3 linked regions of the Arabidopsis thaliana genome follow. The protein of the gene in region 1 interacts with the protein of each later gene in a pairwise test. Each region holds a gene or a part of one and is shown on either strand. Other genes may lie near its edges.

Region 1 (3,006 bases):
TTATATTGGTTTTAGCACGAGAGTTTGTTAGGGTATATTGGGTAAGCATGAATGTATAACAGTAAGTGAACCTAAAAGCAATAAAAAAAACTCTTGGGATAACATTCAAGATGAAGTAAATTGAGTTTTTTTTGTTAAGATGATAGCATCTACATTCAAAATGTGTTAATACTCCATGAATAATAATACCAAGTTTAATTTTCTGGAGCTCATGTTTTATCTAAAGAGAACGATGCGCATGACATTCACCTAAAAAAACTTTGGACTAAGTCAAGAAGCTTCGACCAATTTGCTTTAGGTTCAACCTGAGAGAGAATAAGCTATGAGAGTTTCAACATAGCAGAGCAGTGAGTGCCACAAGAAACATAATAATGCCCTAGAAACATCTAATGACTGACTAATCTGGACACGAGACTTTTGCACATACCTGGAATTCACCTGCCACAAATTTCAACACAGACATCATAATTTTAAGATTTAGTGATGTTTTTGCCTCCTTGGACGGAAACAGTAAAGAAAGTACCTGGCGGGAGAACTGGATACAAAACAAGACAGTCAAGGCGTACGAGAGAGAGAGACAGAGACAGAGCCACAGAAGGACATGTAAACTTGGGAAAGTCACCTTATAAAAATGACATTTTGGCAACGGGGATACAGAATATTCCTCTAGTGTAGAGATGCAAAAAGAATGCACAAAAGCCTCATCGAAACGCTCTGCTTCTCTAATTACCGAGAGAGCACACTCTCCCATATCTGACAAGACCAGCTTGAGAAACTTATGGTGTTCATTGGCATCCAAATACCTAGAAAAAAAAGAAGAAGAAGAAGTGAAACTTGTTGACTTGTACAGCAAGGGAAGCATAAGTCTCACGGTTTTATTTACCTTAGCCAGGGTTTTAGCCCTTGTAGAAGAGAAATGCCCCTCAAGTATTGGAGATCGTTCATATCCCGCGACATTGCTACAGACCTGACGATGGACGCCACAACCATGAGTTGGACTCTTGCCAGTTTAGCTCCTCCAAATTCGGGATCTGGTAAAAACGGTACACCTTTGGACTCGGGTTCTCTAACTCTAAAACCATCGTCGTAGGCGGGTCCTTTAAGGTGGTCAAGGACTCTAAAACCATCGTTGTAGGCGTGAGTGAACCAACCCCAGGCCTGGTAACAGTGAATCAGCCCGACTCTCTGAAGCTGGACGGCTAGAGGATCGTAGGAGACCAATTCGCAGCATTCCAAACAGAAATCATACGCGCGGAACAAATCCCTAGGGGATCCTTGGGTGAGGCGTTTATGCAGGAAACACACGGATTTGATGATGAAGGGGATGAATTGCTGCGAGATGGATCCAACGGGAGACCTTTTTTAGTGGAATTAGGTTTACTTTTTTAGTTCCCACCAAAGAGTGCGAATCTCTTTAAAGTTAACGTAACATGCAAATCGATTTTAAAGTTTTTTGTTTAAAGTTGGAGACGAGTAAGAACGAGAGTAATATATAATCAACTTTGAAAGTCTCAACTCTCAAGAAGGAATCAAAAGAGACCCATTGACTTCTCAAAAGTCAAAACATTGATCACGTCAACAACCATCTTCTACACTTAATCGCACGTTCTTCTTGGTATATATTATGATCATAATCATCCATTAATTCTCGAAACAAATAAGAAAAACGAAAGAATATGTCTTCACCATCTTCCCTAACGCAGAGAAACCCAACTAGTTCGCAAGAGCAATCGGAGTCTGTTCCACAGCTAAGGAGGCAGACATCTCAACATGCAGTCATGTCACAGACGCTAACCTCAGCTGCAAACCTGGCAAATCTCCTTCCAACCGGAACGCTCTTAGCTTTCACGCTCCTCATACCCGTCTTTACATCCAATGGTTCATGCGATTACCCGACCCAGGTTTTAACCATAGTGCTCCTCACGCTTCTCTCCATCTCCTGCTTCCTTAGCTCCTTCACTGACAGCGTCAAGGCTGAAGACGGTAACGTTTATTACGGTTTTGCTACTCGTAAGGGCATGTGGGTTTTCGACTACCCTGACCCTGACGGTTTGGGTTTACCCAATCTTAGTAAATACCGGATAAGAATTATTGACTGGATCCACGCCGTTTTGTCGGTTCTTGTGTTTGGTGCGGTGGCTCTGAGGGACAAGAACGCCGTGAGTTGTTTTTATCCGGCGCCAGAGCAAGAAACCAAGAAGGTTTTGGACATTGTTCCAATGGGTGTTGGGGTTATCTGTGGCATGTTGTTCTTGGTTTTTCCGGCGAGAAGGCACGGTATTGGATATCCGGTCACCGGAGACGGGGGTCGTCGTTAGATTTGTTATTTATTTCCAAATAGATATAAGCAATTTGATTATTTAATGTTTGGTTGACTAATTCGCTTGTGCATGTGATCATTTCGTGTTTGTCTCATCTACTTCCAATTCTAATAATGATTTTAATTTTGTTCTTTGTTTAGTGGACAATTATTTACGCAAGCAATCTTATTATACGTTCTGCTTGGTCATAAACTAATAATACACTTAGAGGTGTGAAATGCTTAAGATGCCTTGTCTAATTGAGTTAACACACGATATCAATAAACTGAAAGCTATAAAAAAAAAAACTTGGTTAATTGTTTGATCAGGAAGTGGCTGAACTGAGAGGACCATCCAGGTTGGGACCTTTCAAAAGAGCATGTGGACAACACAGTTCTTGTAAGACTCACACTTGTCATGTTGTTTACTCTGACTTTCATCTCTTGCCATGTTTATTTGAGACATACATGCGTCTTCCCAAAGGAAATAAGAAAACCTGTGGAGGTTTATAAATTCCTTTCTCTGCATCCGTTTTACTTACTTGCAAAATGCAGAGACTCTGTAGCCACTAGCTAAACACCGTTGCTAGCTAGGTAATATGCGAGATCTTGAGTTCTGTTTACTCCAATTGCTGGCAGAGTCGGTCAAGGACTCAAACACAAAATCTTGCACAATGATACCATATCAGCAACCAATTCCATACTCG
Region 2 (5,048 bases), on another chromosome or scaffold:
ACCATGCCGACCAAAAATAAATGATAGTACTAATTTACATGTCTTGTTATAGGCGATAAGGTTTTAAACTTAGACTACTTATTAGAGTACTTGGGACTTACGAGTGACATGTTTGATATAGAAACATCGCGTTAAACACAATTTGGTAGATGTCACAGCAGCTTTGAAGTAACTAGTACAAATTTGGTGTATGGGTTACATCATCCAATAGTCGTCATCCAATAGTCAATTTCAAACAAAACTTAGCCATTAACGTCTCCTTTGAAATTGTACTAAACTCCATTAGTAAATCTTCAATCTCCCCCATGTTCGAGTAACAATAGATGATTTTTAGTTGTTTTTCATAATGTTTTTTTTATATATAATTTTTTAAAATATGCTTTAGGCCACATAAATGTTAGGACCGGCTTCCTCCTCCTATTTTTAGTAATCTCTCGAATTTCATATCTCAATCGGTTCCTTTCCTACATGTTTATCATTTCATTGTCGATCGTTTGACTCGATTCGATATTTTCGTCAATCATTCATCCAACATGTATATAAAAAATGGAATTTCCCTTTGGCTTTGTGTATTGATGTTAAAACTTGAATTGTTTCTTAGGAGTAGAACTGTTGAATTAGCGATTGTGTATACTCGAACCATAATTCCAAAACAAAGGAATGTGTTTGTGGCCGACAAAGAAAAGAAAAGTATTAATTTTACATGTTATGCTTTGAAACTGATTGGTTACTAACGAGAGAGAACATGTTTTATATATACATCGAAACAAGGCTTTAAACAAAATTTGGTAACTATCTTAGCTTTGATAATGGATAATAATGAAATGGCCATCGAGTTGACGAAGCCAAATTGCCTTTATCACGGATTCAAAAAAAAAACAATCACGAAAATCACGATTTTTTATTTCCTAAATATACATTTATGTCGAAAATGAAACTTCATGAAATAAAAGAAAATTAAGAAATTAACATTAAATGAAATCATGTACCGTAATCAGTAAGGGATGGCGATGATGATGGTGGTTGTCAAATCCTACGAGCCACACACTTTGAGATAATTTCGTGGGCTCCTTCATGCTTCACACAAATTTTAGTTAACTCTCTTTATTTGTTTTGTTTATAAACTATAGTTGACTTGAAAAAGTTGTTTTTTGTGAATTAATTTCTAACCTATTATTAGTTATATACTGAATCTCTGATATCACAATTTATCCAATATTCTACGAAGATAGATTAATCATGAATCCAACAAAATTGGGAAATTGGAGTTTAACCAATTAATGGAAACTACGGCCATCCCAAATTACCAACCGTTTTGTGGAGCCACATTGAAGAGAGAGTCGTTCTCTTAGTAGTTTTGACATCCACATCTACTGTATACATGCATATTTGTCAACGCATTCCTCACTAGGTTCAGCATGGTTCCTTTTTTGGATTATTTCATCAATTGATTCGACATATATTAATAAAGGGAGATACATATTTTGTATCATTTTGCGTGTCGGTGTTAATATTTGATTTGGTGATTAGGAGTAGAAAACTGTTTTGGATGATATTAAAACCAAAGAATGTGTTATGGTTACTATGAACAAACGTTCTCTGCTGTATGTACAAGAACACATTCTTCAAATTTGGTTGATGAGACACATATGTCAAATTTAAATGCGACTCGTGGTGCAGAGCAGAAGCCAAAATCAAAGTACTGTATACAATTTTGAATTTTCTTTTAAGACTTATCAAGAATTTAATGACCACGTAATTCACAGTATTTTGCTTTTTACATACATTTAATGTCGAAAACGAAACTTCTGAATTATTGTTCACTCTTATTACTAGCCACGACCCACACGAACGTTAAATTTCTATCTAATATTTTTTTTTAGTTACAGAAGTTACAACACATGTTACATTTTTCTTATAAATAACCAACGTATGAAACTATACGTCCCATCATAAAAAATATCACTACTAAGAACTTTCAGATTCCACCATATATACTTCACAATCAGTTTGATGATTTCTTAAGCCAAAACTCTAAACGACGCCGTCCGATGAATCTATCACTCAGCGGTAGAAAGATTGCCATGACACGTGTTTCGGCGGAAACTCAGTATATCACTCCCATCGGATCACCAACCCTCGACGAGTTGCTGAAAGACTGCGACAGTTTCCGAAAAGGAGATTCCGGCGACGGCGTAAAAAGCGACGATCCTGCACATCACATAATAGATGTCGAAGCCTTGTACGTAAAACCTGTCCCGTACGTCTTAAACTTTAACAATCTTCAATACGATGTCACACTTCGCCGGCGGTTTGGCTTCTCACGGCAAAACGGAGTAAAGACTCTACTCGATGATGTTTCCGGAGAGGCTTCTGACGGCGATATCCTCGCCGTTCTCGGTGCAAGTGGAGCAGGAAAATCAACGTTGATCGATGCACTAGCGGGGAGAGTTGCTGAGGGAAGCTTGAGAGGCTCTGTAACTCTAAACGGAGAGAAAGTTTTGCAATCTCGATTGTTGAAAGTTATATCGGCGTATGTTATGCAAGACGATCTTCTTTTTCCGATGCTCACCGTTAAAGAAACCCTAATGTTCGCTTCCGAGTTTCGTCTCCCGAGAAGTTTGTCTAAGTCGAAGAAGATGGAGCGTGTTGAAGCCCTAATTGATCAATTAGGGTTAAGAAACGCGGCGAACACGGTAATCGGAGACGAAGGACACCGTGGAGTTTCTGGAGGAGAGAGACGGCGCGTTTCAATCGGAATCGATATTATACACGATCCTATCGTCTTGTTCCTCGACGAACCAACGTCGGGGCTGGATTCTACAAACGCGTTTATGGTGGTGCAAGTTTTGAAACGAATTGCTCAAAGTGGCAGTATCGTAATTATGTCGATCCATCAACCTAGTGCTCGAATCGTGGAGTTGCTTGATCGGCTTATCATTCTATCTCGTGGCAAAAGTGTGTTCAATGGATCTCCGGCGAGTCTTCCCGGATTCTTCTCCGACTTCGGTCGTCCGATCCCGGAGAAAGAGAACATATCAGAGTTCGCACTTGATTTAGTTCGAGAGCTTGAAGGATCCAATGAAGGTACGAAAGCTTTAGTAGACTTCAACGAAAAGTGGCAACAAAACAAGATCAGCCTGATCCAATCTGCTCCACAAACCAATAAGCTCGACCAAGACCGTTCATTATCTTTAAAAGAAGCCATTAATGCGAGTGTTTCTAGAGGCAAACTAGTCTCAGGCTCATCTAGATCCAATCCCACTTCCATGGAAACAGTATCTTCATACGCAAACCCGTCGTTGTTCGAAACATTCATCTTAGCCAAACGGTACATGAAAAACTGGATCCGGATGCCTGAGCTAGTAGGAACAAGGATTGCTACGGTAATGGTGACTGGTTGTCTTTTAGCAACTGTGTATTGGAAGCTAGACCACACTCCAAGAGGAGCACAAGAGAGATTGACTTTGTTCGCATTTGTCGTCCCAACAATGTTCTATTGTTGTTTAGACAATGTCCCCGTTTTTATCCAAGAACGATACATTTTCTTAAGAGAGACAACACACAACGCGTACAGAACATCTTCATACGTCATATCACACTCTCTTGTGTCCCTGCCTCAGCTACTTGCACCTTCCTTGGTATTTTCCGCGATCACATTCTGGACCGTTGGATTGAGCGGGGGATTAGAGGGTTTTGTCTTCTATTGCCTCCTAATCTATGCCTCCTTTTGGTCTGGATCTTCCGTCGTTACCTTTATATCCGGTGTTGTTCCGAATATCATGTTATGTTACATGGTCTCCATTACCTATCTCGCCTACTGTTTACTGTTGAGTGGATTCTACGTCAACCGAGATCGAATACCGTTTTATTGGACGTGGTTTCATTACATTTCAATTCTCAAGTATCCGTATGAGGCTGTCTTAATCAACGAGTTTGATGACCCGTCTCGTTGTTTTGTTAGGGGTGTCCAGGTTTTCGACAGTACTCTTCTCGGGGGAGTGTCTGACTCCGGGAAGGTTAAGCTCCTTGAAACTCTCAGTAAATCTCTGAGAACGAAGATAACGGAGTCCACATGCTTGAGGACGGGGTCTGACTTACTTGCACAACAGGGTATTACGCAATTGAGCAAGTGGGATTGCTTGTGGATTACGTTTGCTTCAGGTCTCTTCTTTAGGATCTTATTTTACTTCGCCTTGCTGTTTGGGAGCAGGAATAAGAGGACGTGAGGTTACTACTTACTAGCGCCCACAAATACATTTGTGCGCATTAGCTACATATTTAAGTGAAGCTTGAAGAATTAGCTTCTCGATGTTACTATACATTTGTGAAGAAGTTGTAAAATTTATACTCATTTCATCTTTGTTTCTTTAAAAGAATATACTGTAAAATAAACAAGTATTTCTTCTTAAATATCCAAATTAGCATCTGATTACTTGAATACACATTTAAATTTCGAGGCAGAACAATTGCTTAAGTAAAGCAAGACCATTACCCTCCTTCAAGGTTTCGCTATCTGCTCGTTCCTTTGTCTTGACTTGGCCTCTGTTTTTCTGTTTCGTTTTCCTTACTTATTGCCTATTGGTGATAGTTCTGTTTCGTAGTGTTGCTCTCCTTTGTTTGCTGTCTTGTCCCTTTGGGTGCAGTTCAAAAAATTAAAATCTAGGGGCTGCTGTTGAATGTTTTGCGAATTTTTCAACCATATAGTTATATCAATATTCAAGTATTGGTGATAGTTCTTTTCCACAATGGTCAGCAAAATAAAATATCAACAAAAGTTCAACCACGAAGTTTAGTAGATATGAAATGAATATTGCGCATCCCACGTTGGAGATATAAGTTTTATGGTCCGGACTCCCTTACTTCATACTTCATACTTCATATATAGTATATTTTACTCAAAGAAAAAAAATGGACAAGTGAAAATCTAGTGAATTAATGTATTCACCTAAATTTGAGATATAATATTTTCTGGTGTGATAGACATTACTCACTATTCAATGACTCAAAATTTAAAACATGCATGTCAGAACACAATTAAATTCGAA
Region 3 (4,702 bases), on another chromosome or scaffold:
TCAAAAGATTTTTATAATTCAAGCACACACATTTATATCTACTGACATCATGAATTGCAAAACAACTGAGAGAAAGAACCAAACCTGGTAAGCCATCCTATTCAGGTTCCTAGCCCCGTAATAGAGTCTTACGTCAGATCTTCTATCAGCGCCAAATCCTGATTCGATTAGTGAGCGGATGGGGCTGCAGAGATAAGAACATGTGAGATTACATTCCAAATTGAAGACAGTTACTTAATTCACATCACCATCACTAAACATTTTTGATTGACCAGGCCTAGAACAATAGATGATTGAAAGAAACACCTTTACTTGGCATAAACAACAGATCTGATCGATCACCAAAGTCATAAAAACATTGACCTTTCATACATGAAACTCTATTTCAGTATTACAACATCATCACAGTAAAAAAATAGCCACAAAATTGGTCCATGGCACCTTTGGATAGATTGAAATCATACTGGAGTTCACAAAAAAGGTCCACAAAAAAGCAATTGAACCCGGCATCACAGAGGATTCACCGCAAAATGAGTAACTAAACTAGATTCAAGATACTTGAGTTTGAAAGCTTTGTATCTAGCTAATGCTCTGCACTGAAACCTTTAAACTAGACCACACTTGGATCATTGAATACATGAAGTAAAAAAGACAACTTCAGCAATCCAACAAGGTAGGAGAGAAAATGGAAAAAGCTCTCACCTAATTCCAGATCCAGTGGCGAAAATCAAAACGGTGGGATATTCCTCAGGAGGATCAATCAGATCGATATTGAAACCATTACCCATCACAGAGCTAAGCTCAACGGTCTCTCCTTTCTTCAACCCGCAGAGAATCTCCGCGGTAGAACCAGCGATGCTCTTGACCAAGAATTCGAAAGCACCACGAGAAGACGCCAAGGAAGGAGGAGAAGCGATTGCCATAAAAGAAGGCTTCTCAACATCAGGAACACGGATCTGGAGATACTGACCGGGTCTCGTGTACGAAGCTACGAGATCCGGAGCGTTTGAAATGTCGATTGAGATGTGGAAAAGCGATTCTGCAGCTGATTCGATTAGAGAGAGAGGAGCTGGAGTCCAGAGGGAAGCGTCCTGGCGAACGGCGGCGGCGGATACAACGGAAGCGACGCGGTTATTTCGGGATAAACGGAGATGGCGTGTAAGAGGGAGATGGCGCAGGATAAACATGGGGGAGAGGGAGTGGCTAAAGTGCGCATGGGTGACAGAAGGCGCGAAAGGAAGAGTGGACATGGTGGAGAGTTTTTGGGGCTCTATATGTGACCGTCAAATTTAGCCGGCGGTAGAAAAGGGCGGCCCGATTGGTTCGGTGGCACGATTGTGTTATTTTTTTTTGCTATGCACCTAATTTCCTTCCGTTACAATGTTTTGCCACGTGGATGATCAAAATATCATTCTATCTACTTTCCGACCACTTGTTGTGATACTTCGAAAATTGCATTCCCTCTTCATTTAATTTTGCTAGCTCGTCTTTCAAAGAAAAAACACCAAATCATGTAATTAAAAGACAGAATTGTGGAAGAAAAGTGACAAGCAATATGCATATTAAAAAACGTAAGAGTACATTATCAATGAACACTCCCTACCGTTGAGCCAAATTTAACGTATATATTTCATTCATGGTTTTGGAATTTTGCCAAGTGGCACTACACTATAGATTCCCTTGGTAAGGAATTACACATAACCAAGCACCAAAAAGCAGACAGTAGTACTTCACGATTATCACTCACCACTTTCCGTTTCAACTTTCAAACTCTCTCTCACAAGCCATGCAAGACGCGGAGAGAACCACCAATGATCCGGTAGACAGAATTGAGAAAGTGACATGGAGAGATCTGCAAGACGGATCTTTCACCGCAGAACTCAAGAGGCTTATCTGCTTTGCGGCTCCTATGGCTGCCGTGGTTATCATTCAGTTCATGATACAGATAATCTCAATGGTGATGGTGGGTCACCTCGGTAGACTCTCCCTCGCTAGCGCTTCCTTCGCAGTCTCCTTCTGTAACGTCACTGGCTTCAGCTTCATTGTTTGTTTTCCTTTTCCTTCTTTCCTCTAAATTGACGCACTTATCTCTGTTACTAGCTACCAGAACCATGGAAATTGCATCCTCTCCTCACTTTCTTGTTACTTTTTGATGATAGATAGGATTGTCATGTGCCTTAGATACTTTGAGTGGTCAAGCTTATGGAGCTAAGCTATATCGGAAACTAGGTGTTCAGGCTTACACAGCTATGTTCTGTCTTACTTTAGTGTGTCTCCCTCTCTCTCTCCTATGGTTCAACATGGGAAAGCTTATTGTGATCCTTGGCCAAGACCCTGCTATTGCTCACGAAGCTGGTAGATATGCCGCTTGGCTCATCCCAGGACTGTTCGCTTACGCCGTTCTTCAGCCGCTCATTCGCTACTTCAAAAACCAGAGCTTGATCACACCTCTCCTCGTCACCTCTTCTGTTGTGTTTTGTATCCACGTTCCTCTCTGCTGGCTTTTGGTTTATAAGTCAGGGCTTGGTCATATTGGAGGAGCCTTGGCTCTCAGCTTGTCATACTGGCTCTATGCCATTTTCCTTGGATCTTTCATGTACTACTCCTCTGCCTGTTCTGAGACACGCGCGCCGCTTACCATGGAGATATTCGAGGGCGTTAGAGAGTTTATCAAATATGCTCTTCCTTCTGCGGCTATGCTTTGGTACATCACTTTTCTCTGTTCCTTTTTCACTTCTCATTGCCTCCACATTTTTTGTTAGAAACTCTTTTATATATGGGTTGCAGCCTGGAGTGGTGGTCATATGAACTCATAATATTACTTTCTGGTCTGTTACCCAACCCACAGCTGGAGACTTCTGTGCTCTCTATCTGGTACTCATCCTTGCATCTTTCCATTTCCTGTCACAATCTTGAATTTGCAAAATCATAATGTTATTCATACTACGGACAGTTTCGAAACACTTTCAATAACTTATTCAATACCACTAGCGATCGCGGCTGCAGCAAGGTTAGAGCTTTTGTCACCACTATCCAGTACATAAATGCTGAAGTATACTTTCTGTTATGGTTTCATGTTCATAAGCAAGTACATTGTGCAGCACAAGAATCTCAAATGAGTTAGGAGCTGGAAACTCTCGAGCAGCACATATTGTGGTCTATGCGGCAATGTCTCTTGCAGTAATGGATGCATTGATGGTGAGTATGTCTCTATTAGCCGGCAGGCATGTTTTCGGCCATGTTTTCAGCAGTGACAAGAAAACCATCGAATATGTTGCAAAGATGGCTCCGTTGGTCTCTATTTCTATCATACTGGACAGTTTACAAGGGGTTCTCTCAGGTTCGAGATTTTTTCCCATTTCGTTTCTCAAACATAAGCTAGTGTCGAATATACAGCTCCAAGTTGTCATGCCTGTTCATGTTGTACTCTTTTCTGCCATTCTTCTAACCCTCGTTTGATGGTTGGAAGGTGTTGCAAGCGGATGCGGGTGGCAGCATATAGGGGCTTACATAAACTTCGGAGCTTTCTATCTCTGGGGGATACCCATTGCAGCATCTTTAGCCTTCTGGGTTCATCTGAAAGGTGTTGGCCTTTGGATTGGAATACTAGCCGGTGCAGTTCTGCAGACTCTTCTGCTGGCTCTTGTCACAGGCTGCACAAACTGGAAAACCCAGGTCCTTTCCTTTGCTTTTTGTCTTTCATGACATGTTTCTATTTTGGAATAAACATATCGATGTTCAATTGGATGCATTTTGAACTCTAGGCCCGTGAAGCGAGGGAGCGAATGGCTGTGGCCCATGAATCAGAACTTACAGAGTCAGAACTTCCCATCTAAGATTACAGGGACACAGATGTTCCTCCTATTTTACCATTTTTGTAGCAGCCAAATCGTTATATGTTACTGCTGGACTAGTGGTTGCCGTGAATAATTGGTCTTTTCTTTTGTAATATTAGCAGCCCTCAGCAATCGTTATTTCGATGAAGCATTATTCTGGTAGTTCAGAAATACCTTGGACAGAAAATGATGTAGTGATCCAATTCTGCTGATACCAGCTCGCTTATACCTGTAACACAGTAGTTGCGAGTCAGGAAATAGATGTGGGAGCTGCTTCTGAGTCTTGGAGCTAGAGTTTTCAATCACTGAAAATGTTTCTCGACACAGACCTTCACAAGTGTCTCCACAAGTAATAATGACAGGATCACACATATATTACTATCACTAGAAAAATATAACCACCAACAACGTTGCTTTATGTATTCAAACTTTCTTACGATGATGACAATATAGTTTGCAAAATGCATATTAAAAAAAGAAAACGCAGAGAGCCAAGAGTCAGCATCAGTAATCACGCCACAAAAATAAAACGCAGAGAGCATATTAAAATGTTGAATTAATAGGTGGAATAAAGTGACGATTATGTGTTACAAAAATGAAAAATATGGTTTTGTATAAAAACACCAATGTGGCAATGTACATAGTCTTAAAGAACAACACGTACTAAAGCACAAAAAGCAGACAGTAGTTCTTCACTCACACCACTTTCAGTTTCAAATTTCAACTCTCTCTCTTTAGTGTCTCTCTAGCCATGGAAGACGCAGAGAGCACCACCAAAGATCCTGTAGACAGAGTTGAGAAAGTAACATGGAGAGATCTGCAAGACGGATCTTTCACCGCAGAACTCAAGAAGCTTATATGCTTTG

The links. The genes of interacting proteins can lie anywhere in the genome.
Region 2: the proteins of AT4G24310 (region 1) and ABCG19 interact in a protein complementation assay, tested with the Arabidopsis thaliana proteins (one large-scale study listed by BioGRID).
Region 3: the proteins of AT4G24310 (region 1) and AT1G15150 interact in a protein complementation assay, tested with the Arabidopsis thaliana proteins (one large-scale study listed by BioGRID).

The regions. Positions count from the first base shown.
Region 1 is NC_003075.7:12,599,224-12,602,229, forward strand, and holds AT4G24310 (transmembrane protein, putative (DUF679)), read left to right. Parts: upstream 1-1,579; 5' UTR 1,580-1,676; coding exon 1,677-2,318; 3' UTR 2,319-2,503; downstream 2,504-3,006. Other genes in the region: AT4G24300 (Peptidase C50, separase), read right to left, coding at 428-535, 623-803, 884-990. UniProt on the Arabidopsis thaliana protein: Involved in membrane remodeling.
Region 2 is NC_003074.8:20,433,292-20,438,339, reverse strand, and holds ABCG19 (white-brown complex homolog 19), read left to right. Parts: upstream 1-1,886; 5' UTR 1,887-2,051; coding exon 2,052-4,229; 3' UTR 4,230-4,501; downstream 4,502-5,048. UniProt on the Arabidopsis thaliana protein: Confers selective resistance to kanamycin.
Region 3 is NC_003070.9:5,210,888-5,215,589, forward strand, and holds AT1G15150 (MATE efflux family protein), read left to right. Parts: upstream 1-1,587; 5' UTR 1,588-1,786; coding exon 1,787-2,044; exon of another isoform or gene 2,045-2,159; coding exon 2,160-2,704; intron 2,705-2,787; coding exon 2,788-2,874; intron 2,875-2,953; coding exon 2,954-3,010; intron 3,011-3,101; coding exon 3,102-3,340; intron 3,341-3,469; coding exon 3,470-3,675; intron 3,676-3,764; coding exon 3,765-3,836; 3' UTR 3,837-4,155; downstream 4,156-4,702. Other genes in the region: AT1G15140 (FAD/NAD(P)-binding oxidoreductase), read right to left, coding at 85-184, 703-1,250; AT1G15160 (MATE efflux family protein), read left to right, coding at 4,588-4,702.